Linked DNA regions of Arabidopsis thaliana. The protein of the gene in region 1 interacts with the protein of each later gene in a pairwise test. Each region holds a gene or a part of one and is shown on either strand. Other genes may lie near its edges. The genes, in order: AT5G01160, LBD27 and NAC063.

Region 1 (3,756 bases):
TAGTGAGGAGCCTAAGTTTTCTTTGAGACTTATTGTTGATGAAGAGAAAAACAAGGTTGTTTTGGCTGAAGCTTGTAGGGATTTTGTTGATGTACTCTTCAGCCTTCTGACACTTCCAATGGGAACCATTGTCAGATTGCTTGAGAATCATCGAAAATCTGAGCCAGTAACTCTGGGCTGTTTTAACAATCTCTATAGAAGTGTTGTGGACATGGGCAGTGATTGTTTTGAGACTGAAGCTTGTAAGCAGATGCTTGTGTATCCGAAGAGTGTGAAAGACCTCCAGTGCAAAAGGCTTAAGCTCAACATAAACCCTACTGAGGACATCAAGTGTTTTAAGTGCTCAAGTTACTGCGGCTTGTACAGTAATTTCAGCACCTCTAAATGTCGTTGCGGAAAATTTATGAACGAGGAGATTCAGTTAGAAAACGAGGAACAAGATTTAGGCCGGTTTCAAGATGATGATAATGGAGTATTTGTCAGCGGTAGGTGTTCATTCGTCTTAACCGATGACTTGGAAGTGTCAGTCAAGTCCACTGAACTTGTCTTGAATAAGCTCAAATCCTTAGGTTGTGCTGATGTTGGTAAGCTCGGTGAAAGGCTTCTTGATATTGGTGTGAAAGAGGTATGTTAGTTAGTTTATTCTTCAAGCGTTTGTGTTATCATTACTTTATTAGTTCTCTCTTACTATATCTGAATCTTGGACTAGGTACTGACTCTGCTGGGATGTATATTCTCCTCAAATGCTCCCTTAAAGGACATTTTCTTGAACAAGAAGATTACACAAGGTGCGACGAAGTTTTACAAATCGCAAAGTCCATGTTTGGAGAAAAAAGAAGATGAAGCAGAACCTGAAAAGGTAGTAACTTTGAAAGCATTTGTGAGGAAGCAGGACATGAAGATTTTATTTGTTGAATGCGGAGAGGAATTTGTTGAGCTTCTTTTCTCTTTTATTGCTGTCCCGCTTGAATCTGCATGGGAAATCTCTGGCAGCAGTATCTCCTTAGGTTGCATAGGAAACATGTGTAGAACCTTCAGGGACTTAAATGAGGAGACTCAAATGTCAACTTCCACATGCGCACTTCCGTCTTTCTATAATTTCCAGATGCAACTGCCTGGTATTATCACTCAACAACCTCCGGTGTACTACCGTTACAGGCTCTACGATTACAGGCAAATGAACTATGGTTTGACTACAAACGGTAATCGAACTACTTATTACCGCAAAGACAGAATCGTTCGGGTGGATTTGAAGGATCCCAAATCCCGTGGCAGCGATAAGTCTGCTCAGGGGTTCTTGAAGAAAGCGACAAAGTGTACTGTATTAGATGATCTGACCATTACATCTATGAACTCCTGCTCCACAGTTTGTTTACTAAAGAAGTTGCAGAGTCACGCAGACGATCTAGAGGTGCAAGTAATTAGTATCAGCAATGCAGAGGTATGTTTCTGTATACCCTTTTTGATCCTGTATTCTTGAAAGGAACTTGACTGACACTTGATTTTGAATTAGGCTTTGGATTTGTTGAGAGCTTCCTTGGTGACATCCTCTGCTTTGAGCACGACATTATGGAATTTGATTGCTAAGAAACTGAAGGAGGAGACTGATTTATGGGACACGGTTTCAAAGAAAGTGAAGGAAGAGACTTGAAGAAATAGAAAGCTAGTGAGAATGAACTCTAAGTCGATTGTTGATTATGTTTTTAGAATTCCGCAAAATCTACATTACATTCCTCATGTTTTCTTCCAAGCCTTATCTTTCTTTGTAAGACTAATCAAATTATTGTTTTATGGAAATTCATCTTAATAGGGTTTTTTAAATGCAGGCAAAAACTTGCACATCTTTTTGAGTTTATAAAGCAACAAGCCTAAAATCTGGAATTTCCTAGTACGATAAGACTGAAATATACAACCATTACCAAAAAAAATGCATCCATATACAAAAGTTTATAATAAGATCCAGTTGGTATATAGTAATTGGGAATGTTGAAGACATATGAAGTGTTGATCAGAAAAAAATAAGACTTGAAGTTAATTAATGGAAACCCTCTTTCTCAGCCAGAAGACTTGAAGGCTTCTATTCTCCTCCGTTGCCCACAAAAACAAAATTTGCTTCGCCGTTTTCGGCTCCGGCGTGATTCTTGAGAAGAACTGAAGTAGAGAGAGAGATCTGAAATCTCAATCTCCGATTTAACTTGGTAACTAGAGAAGCTTTTGATTCCTATTCTTTCTTTTGATTTGTATTTCTTAGGGTTCCGTTCATGTAACTTTTACAGCGACAATGCTTCAAATTCGTCTTCGGAGGGATTCCCCGACGGAAACTGGAAATGGTGCGAGGCCTTCTCCGACGGAGACGGTTACTGTAGCCTGTCCCGACCATCTCGTCCTCGCCGATCTTCCTGTTGCGAAAGGAATCGGTTCCGTGACTCCCACCACCGTAATCAAGCCCGTCGGTCGTCGTTCTCGCCGTCAGCTAGGCGAGAGAGTTCACTTCTGCGTTCGTTGCGATTTTCCGATTGCAATCTATGGTCGTCTGGTAAAAAACTTCGCTTCCTTCATTGGTTTATGGCTATATTGATTTGCCTTAAAGAGTTTTTTTAAGGGGGCTCTTCTTCTATATGTGATTGAAACTTTTTTTGTTTTGTTTTGGTTTTGCAGATTCCTTGTGATCATGCCTTTTGCCTTGAATGTGCTCGCAGTGATTCCATCTGCTATCTGTAACCATCTTTAACTCTCATCGAATTTCATTAGAAGCTTTGATAGAGATACTTTAGATTGTTTGGTAATCTACAGAGACGCAGGATTATCATAGTTTGAACTAGGCTTCGAATTTCATTAGAAGCTTTGATAGAGATATTCTAGATTGTTTAGTAATCTACAGAGACATTTTAAGATTTACTAGGCGTAGCGATTATCAGACTGAAATCTTGTTGTCTCTTGTGTGTGTGATTACTGCACAGATGTGATGAGCGGATTCAGAAGATTCAAACAATCAAGATGATGGAAGGGATCTTCATCTGTGCAGCTCCTCATTGTCTTAGGTCTTTCCTGAAGAAACTTGACTTTGAAGCCCATGTCCATGACCTCCATGGAAGCCTATTACAAGCCGATGCAGAGAAAGAAGATGGTAACCAGTCAGATGTTCAGAGCACAATGCAGCAGTCTTCAGCTTCAGAATCCACCTTGCGAGCTCCTTTAAGATCCCAGCTGCAACAATCCCGTGAACTAAACAGGTCGGCGTCATTTGCAAAGTCACAGTCTGGATTTAGTCAAGTCCAGAATTACCCTCCAGATAGCGATAACTCTCGCCCTCCTGGATTCGAAACCGCTAGTCCTAAACCAGGAATCCGGTTCCCAGACTACCCCCAGCCTATGAATCTTATGCAACCGCCCAGCTTGCCCGTTCCAATGAATCAAAACCCGGGTTTACCACAGCAGTTTGGTTTTCCTTCGTATCCAACAACAGAGAGTGGATCATCTCAACAATTCTTTAACGGTGCTCAGTACGAGATGACAAGAACAGAGAGCGGCGGATCAGAACAAAGTTCATTGCTCGGGTATCCCCCGCCTTCACCAATGACGAATCTGAATTTCCAAGGATCGTATCCTCCTCCATCATGGAATCCCGGAATGGCACCGCCTCACACGACCCAGCAGGTTAACCGGGGTAGAGACGGTCAAAGTTTTGGGTGGCCACAAGAGAACCGTGATGGCTTTGGGCAGGAGTAAGAGTAGTCTAGTTTGAATTTGTGCAAT
Region 2 (3,756 bases), on another chromosome or scaffold:
GAACCATTACACTCGAGAATATTCTGCCATGATTACTAGAGTTCTTGTACAACCAACTGAATGTGACACAATTTTAAGCTGAAGGCTGAAGCCATTCGTAGGGCTGCTCTAACCATCTCTTTGGAATCAGATTCGAGGAATACAATCACATGCTTGTAGCCTATATTTCCAAAACTTAGTGTAGTCCTATGAACATGGCTTCAGCTTCTAGGGAGCATGATACTTTAGGTATTAGTTCGGGATCCAACATCTAACCTACTAACACACACAGTTTCTTGATTATTTCCTCAAGGTTCAACACAAGATCAACATTACATTTTTGAGTTTCATAAATAAGTGGAAGTCTAGTATAATTACCTGAGTAATGTGAGTATCCTCGGGAGCTAATGCATCATTAACATTTGTCTTGTGTCTCTCTTCTTCACTCAGCCATGTTAGATTTTAGCAGAGAAGCGTCCCTTGAATAACAAGTTAAAAACCCAAGAAAAATAAAGCAAATAGAGTTACGTTGCACTAATATTCAAGTTCATTAGAGACTCCAAAAAGATATATTATTAAAATTAGAGAAACTCTGAATTCATAACCTTTAAGTCTCTGACTAAAAGATAATAATAAAATGTCAACAAAAGTATAACAAAATTTCGAGAGCATAATTAGGGATCACGAATTGAGAAATCAATTCAATTATTCACACTGGTTAGACTGAAACAAGTAGCTGCACTTCTCAATTCATTCTCTCCAATTTCATCAATCTGTTCCTTCAACGATCCACCAGAGCTACAACCACCAATATACTCCAATTCAATCACCATATCTACAGAAGAAGAAGAAAATACATATTTCATAGTTTTACAAAGGAAAAAACCCCTACCTTGAGGCCTACGCTTCTTTAGAATCCCCAAATGATTGCCTATCGTCAATGATATCAAGAAACTGATGGAGTTCATCGTATTCATGATCAGCTTCTTCTTCTTCCACTCGCTGATGATTTGATACCATTTGCAGATTTACGAGCTGTGATTGTATTGCCATTACACCGTTACTCTTCATCTCATGACAGCTCTCGTTTTGGTTGCTGTATCCTCCTCCATTGTTGTTGTTATACAGAAATCGATTCTGATCACCCCAAACATTGTTATTGTTGGTCAGAATCTCCTTGCCCGAATCTGTATTATAAGCAGGAGGACTATAGCCATTGTTGTTAACCTCACTGCAGCTATAAGTGTAAGACATTTGTGGCTGTTGTGTTTCGGAAACTGGTAATAATGAACTAAAGAATGGTGTAACGACATTGCTCTGATTATTGTTAACGTTAAGTCCCATACCCAAGTCAAGCTGCTGCGATGTAACATCTTCTTGCTGCTTATTATGATCACTACCAAGCTCATGAATCATCTGATTATGATTATGGTTTTGGTTTTGATTTTGACCGTTTTGTGGTTGAGAGCGATATAGTTGTAATTGAGAATTGACAGCTTTGAGTTCTTCTTCAGCAAACCAGATCATGTATTGAAGTTGTTGCGTGACGCCGAGGCAACCGTGGACAGGAGAACGGTCACGGACATAAGACTGGAAGATGATTGATTTCATTGCTTCTGGTTTCTGAGTTTCGTCTAGTTTTTCGAGGATCTTGACGATACTTCTTACGCCGAATAGCCTGTGAACGTTTTGGAAAAGTTTCGGTTGTTCGGCTGGGAAGTAAGGCGCGAGGGGGCAGTCCGCGGCGCAGCGTCTACGTTGGTACTTGCACGCGGCACAAGCCCCACTCGTGCCGCCTTTAAGAGTCATGTAAACTATAAGAGCGATCAAGAGAAGATCTAAAAGCCTCTCCTGTAACCCTTTGTGGATGTGTTTTGTATTGCTCATTCGATGGGAACAGAACAAGAGACTCTGGAGAATTGAGAAATGAAAATGAGGATTTTGAAAATGAGAGATGTGTGCGTTAGTGTGTCTGTGTGTTAATGGTTTTTGGGAAATGAGAGAAGGGAAGAAGGAGAAGTAGTCTGGTATATAAGCCGGATATTTCTCTAGTAAAGAAGACTAAGTAAAATACAGATTATAAGATTGATTAAAAAAAACGTTGTTTGAGTATCTTCAGGGGAGATTCTTGTTTTTGAGTTTGTTTTTGTTTACTAATAATAGTTGCTTTGTTTTTACTTGATATAACAGTAAATATATCTTACTTGTTTATTTTTTGAGTTTTGGACTTGATCAAGTTTTTTTGAATTTTGTACTTGATCATCTTGATATAAACAATTTTGGGACCAAGTTATTTAGGTTTTAAATTGGATTGAGTAACAAAATAATTATTATGTTCAGTCTTATCTTAATTGAACTACTAAACATCTAAAGTTATATTGAATTGATTTTATTGAAAATTACAAGATTATTGAAAATCTTGTAAAATCTCCCTGGATAAGAAGACTTTACAAAATTTTGGAAAAACTAATCATAGAAATTATACAAAACTCTCTAGTAATCATTTAAAATCTTTAATTTATCTACTTTCAATATATTTTTAAAGTCATTAAAACTCTTTTTATAATCTTGTAAAATCTCCCTGAATATAATTATAAACTTTGATTTGTGATTTCTCCAAAATTATAACATATCACCAAAATATTGTATACTATTCTTCCATCTTCTATAGAAGGTATCTCCACTAAAGTGAAAATCACACGCATAAACACAAAAACTATGGTATTCGTAAGTAAAGTTACATGAACAGGGAACCATCCATGAAGAACTTGAAGTTTTATTTTCAAATATTTTGTTGGATATTTACTTTTCATGTGTTAGATTAAACTGCTTTGTTCTAAAAGTTGTTTGTGTGTTGATTTTCACATAGATTACCGGAGCACATGTGGAACTTGAGCCATTAGAATATATATATTGTCATCACTGTTAATAAGATTTCTGCATCTGTTCGTATCATTGGCTTTTGTTTATATCCAAAGTCATGATTCACAATCTCTCTCTTTTTGTGATACTTTTCATGATTTTAATTTGTGAAGAAAAGAGTATAAAATCATAATCCAATAACACAATATTTTAAATCATTAACAATCATGAAAACTGTTTAAGTTGAATAACACAAAATTTGTAATGACTGTATTAAAATATGAATCAAATAACTCCAGATTTACAAAGACTTTAAGTTACTTTTTACAAATCAAAATCTAACAACACCAAACTTTAACAGAGTCTTATAAAATTTTAATTGAATAACAAAAAAAATTTCATGACATTTCAAGTCACTAAAAATCCATATAAATCACAAACAATAACAACCCCTAAAAAGATTTTGGAAAAACTAATCATAGAAATTATGCAAAACTCTCTAGTAATCATTGAAAATCTTTAATTTATCTACTTTCAATATATTTTTAAAGTCATTAAGTGTGTGATTGGTTCATCTGTAACTGTAGATTTTTGCTGTAGAATTTTTGTTGTATGTGTGATGACTGTAGCCATAGATTTTATTGCTGTAGAAATTAGGCTGTAGATTTTATTAATTTAATATTATTACTTGAAGAAATTGGTTGTAGAAATAAGATCATGGTTGTCTGTATATTTAAACAAAAAAATATTATTGGTAAATTGTACTTATGTGTTATATAATAGAATTCACAAATATCAATTTAATATATATATATAAACAATGTAAGTTATATATATGTCATAAAGTAGATATTTACCTATTATTTATATCCATAAAACTAAATTTAATATATATATATATATATGAAAACTATA
Region 3 (3,756 bases), on another chromosome or scaffold:
CAGAGTTCTTGATCCCAAGACAGCTACGACAACTTGTCTCCTGGAACTTCAGGACAACGAAGCTGCATACAGTGTCTGTACGGTGAATTTCCATGATAAAGAGTATGGTACACTGTTGGCTGTTGGTACGGTCAAAGGGATGCAGTTCTGGCCCAAGAAGAATCTAGTGGCTGGGTTCATACATATTTATAGGTTTGTGGAGGATGGGAAATCTCTTGAGCTTCTTCATAAGACGCAAGTAGAAGGTGTTCCTCTTGCTCTGTGCCAGTTCCAAGGAAGACTGCTGGCAGGGATCGGACCTGTCCTCAGATTGTATGATTTGGGGAAAAAGAGACTGCTTAGGAAATGTGAAAACAAGCTCTTTCCAAACACCATTATCTCTATCCAAACTTACCGTGACCGTATATACGTTGGTGACATTCAGGAGGTGAGTGGTAGATCCTTTTTCCTATATATTTTACTTACTACTGTGTGCTTTGTTTTATAGAAATATCTCATGTAGCCTTTTCATTATCGTTTTGCAGTCTTTCCATTACTGCAAGTACAGGCGCGACGAGAATCAGCTGTACATATTTGCGGATGACTGCGTGCCGAGGTGGCTGACAGCATCGCACCATGTGGATTTCGATACCATGGCAGGTGCAGATAAGTTTGGGAATGTGTATTTTGTGCGGTTGCCTCAGGATCTGTCGGAGGAGATAGAAGAAGACCCGACTGGCGGGAAGATCAAGTGGGAGCAAGGAAAGCTGAATGGAGCACCGAACAAAGTGGATGAGATAGTACAGTTCCATGTTGGGGACGTTGTGACGTGCTTGCAGAAAGCTTCGATGATCCCAGGTGGATCGGAATCGATAATGTATGGAACAGTGATGGGTAGCATAGGGGCATTACATGCTTTCACATCCCGTGATGATGTGGATTTCTTCTCTCATCTGGAGATGCACATGAGGCAGGAGTATCCTCCTCTCTGCGGGAGAGACCACATGGCTTACAGATCTGCATATTTTCCGGTCAAGGTAATAAACCAAAACCCATTTGCTTTTCCTCCAAATCAAAAGAAGTCCCTTGATTTTGAATTTGACACTTTTTGCATCTTGTAACAGGACGTGATAGATGGAGATCTGTGTGAGCAGTTCCCGACACTCCCAATGGACTTGCAGAGGAAAATAGCAGACGAGCTGGATAGAACACCTGCGGAGATTCTGAAGAAGCTCGAAGACGCAAGGAACAAGATCATTTGATAACACACGAAAAGAGAGAGAGAGAGTCATTGTTTTGTTGAAGGACAAAGTAGAGAGTAGAGAAGAAAGAGGTTATAATAGATTTTGTAAAGCTCTTCAATGGTTTGTTAAACAAAACCCCGCTCTTGTGAAAACTGATGAATTAATTGCAAGTTTACTTTTGAATCTACAACAGCATGAAACAGTTGCACCGGTAAGGTTTCTTCCATATTCAGGATTCCTAGTAGCTATGGTAGTTCTTGATTCGTTCATGAGAAGCATTGAGAATTGTGAAGCAGCAGACAAGTGGGAGCCTCGCCTGTCTCAACAAAAGATCAGGAACTGCAGACGAAGAGATCTGAGTTAATTCAGAGGCTCTTAACACCAGCCATTCTCGTTGAGAGCAAAAACAAAGATTGAGGATGCAGGTGAGCTAAATGAATCTTCTGCAACATCAGACTTAAAAAGTACCTGGTAAGATACAAAAACAAAGAATTATTTCACATTTTCTGTAATCAACATTTATCTCTTTGTTAACTTTGTTAGCTAAACATGAAACTTTTCCTTTTCCAAATCTCAATCACAAATTGATTTTCAACAAATCCGATATTATCTGAATCCCATATTATCTCAAATTCGATAAATTTTATAAATCATTATATACACCGTCTTATTACATTCTTATAAATAAGAGACAATATAACTAACTAAACTAACTATATCTCTTACGAAACATACTTTTCTTTTTGTCAAAGCTCCAAAGTTACTTGATGACGATGCCTGGAAGAAACAAGCGCAAAGAAAGATCCTGGCCGGAACCGCAAACGCAACCACAGTCAGAGATTCCTTCTTGTCTTCTTTGGCAGCTGTTAACATGTCTCCTCCGTCGACGATAGCTTACGTATTACCGCCAGGTTTTAAGTTTGTGCCAAACGATGAAGAAGTCATCCATTGTTACTTGAAACCTTACTCGGACGGCAACACGAACGTATTGCTCCATGTTCCTATTCATCTCGTCAATATCTACGAGTCGAATCCACAAACACTTTCAGGTTAACTTGTCTCCGTCCATATGTATTGTTTACTTAGTTGAATTCTTTAGTTTATTAAGTTATTAACATATATCTATATATATATATTTTTGAAACAGAGGAATTCCAGAAGGGTAACGATAAAGAATGGTTTATTATAACGGAGAGGAACAAAGTTGATCAAGGTTTAAGCCAAACAAAGAGAGTTGGTTATGGTGCGAAAAGGCAGAAACGTGTCGACACTAACGGAGGATATTGGCACGCAACAGTGGCTGCCCAAAAGATCAACGCTGGAGATGGTGTCGTTCGCAACAAAAGGCCACTGGCATACTACGTTGGGAAACCATCAGAAGGCGTCAAAACTGATTGGTTAATGCAAGAATACTCTCTTGATCACTCTTCTCACAACAACGACAAGGTAAGAAGTGTTTCTTGGTTCCCAAGTTATTTAGGTTTTCAAGTTTTGGATTCTGTTTTGAGTCTTGTTTTTGTTGTGCGTCTAGGATTACACTTTGTGCAAGATCTATCTTACTCCACAAGCAACAAAGATGAATAAAGAAGTGGGAGAAGAGAAGAAGAAGCAGAAGAAAGGAGAAGCCGTTGTTTCAGTTGCACCTGTGGAAGCATTGGAAGAGCAGCTGCCTTGTAATGTCGAGTATCATCAACCGCTAGCACCGCTAGATTCTTGCCAACCGCAGCCTCATGATTTGGCGTATCAACAGCAGCAGTTTTGTCCAGGCCCACTGGATTCTTATCAACCGCAGCCTCATGATATGGAGAATCAGCAACCGCATAATGAGAAGCTGAAGAAAGAAGAAGACGTTGAGCAGCTGGATTTGCATCAACCAGACCAAGGAAAAGGATGCTAATTGATCTCTTTCCTCTATCGGCAATGTTCTCCAAAACCAGAGATAATTCTCCCTGTCTTTATTGCTTTTGATGCCTTGATATAAAACATTTATACTCAATTTGTCCAACATTTTCTTAGCGTCTTAGACTTATAAACTAACACATACAGATATAGATATAAAACACCGGTGTATTCCAGTTTCAGATTACCCAAATATAAAAAATTTGTGTTTTGATTTGTGGGTGGGTTAAAGATTTTCGTTATATAATACATTAGATCTTAAAACCAACAAATAAGTTTCTTCAAAGCCTAACTAAATATACTCTAAACAAAGTTGTAGATTTAAAGGTAAATTTGGACTTTGTTACATCAGTTTTCACAAGAGCGGGGTTTTGTTTAACAAACCATTGAAGAGCTTTACAAAATCTATTATAACCTCTTTCTTCTCTACTCTCTACTTTGTCCTTCAACAAAACATTTAGCTCACCTGCATCCTCAATCTTTGTTTTTGCTCTCAACGAGAATGGCTGGTGTTAAGAGCCTCTGAATTAACTCAGATCTCTTCGTCTGCAGTTCCTGATCTTTTGTTGAGACAGGCGAGGCTCCCACTTGTCTGCTGCTTCACAATTCTCAATGCTTCTCATGAACGAATCAA

The links.
Region 2: the proteins of AT5G01160 (region 1) and LBD27 interact in a two-hybrid assay, tested with the Arabidopsis thaliana proteins (one large-scale study listed by BioGRID).
Region 3: the proteins of AT5G01160 (region 1) and NAC063 interact in a two-hybrid assay, tested with the Arabidopsis thaliana proteins (one large-scale study listed by BioGRID).

The regions. Positions count from the first base shown.
Region 1 is NC_003076.8:51,999-55,754, forward strand, and holds the start of AT5G01160 (RING/U-box superfamily protein), read left to right. Parts: upstream 1-1,857; 5' UTR 1,858-2,198; exon of another isoform or gene 2,199-2,276; 5' UTR 2,277-2,281; coding exon 2,282-2,536; intron 2,537-2,658; coding exon 2,659-2,717; intron 2,718-2,960; coding exon 2,961-3,729; 3' UTR 3,730-3,756. Other genes in the region: AT5G01150 (hypothetical protein (DUF674)), read left to right, coding at 1-625, 710-1,441, 1,514-1,651. UniProt on the Arabidopsis thaliana protein: Probable E3 ubiquitin-protein ligase which is a subunit of the N6-methyltransferase complex, a multiprotein complex that mediates N6-methyladenosine (m6A) methylation at the 5'-[AG]GAC-3' consensus sites of some mRNAs.
Region 2 is NC_003074.8:17,659,142-17,662,897, forward strand, and holds LBD27 (LOB domain-containing protein 27), read right to left. Parts: upstream 2,214-3,756; 5' UTR 1,867-2,213; coding exon 880-1,866; 3' UTR 872-879; intron 778-871; 3' UTR 539-777; downstream 1-538.
Region 3 is NC_003074.8:20,463,121-20,466,876, forward strand, and holds NAC063 (NAC domain containing protein 63), read left to right. Parts: upstream 1-1,974; 5' UTR 1,975-2,094; coding exon 2,095-2,272; intron 2,273-2,370; coding exon 2,371-2,669; intron 2,670-2,754; coding exon 2,755-3,120; 3' UTR 3,121-3,299; downstream 3,300-3,756. Other genes in the region: SAP130a (Cleavage and polyadenylation specificity factor (CPSF) A subunit protein), read left to right, coding at 1-427, 525-1,016, 1,104-1,241.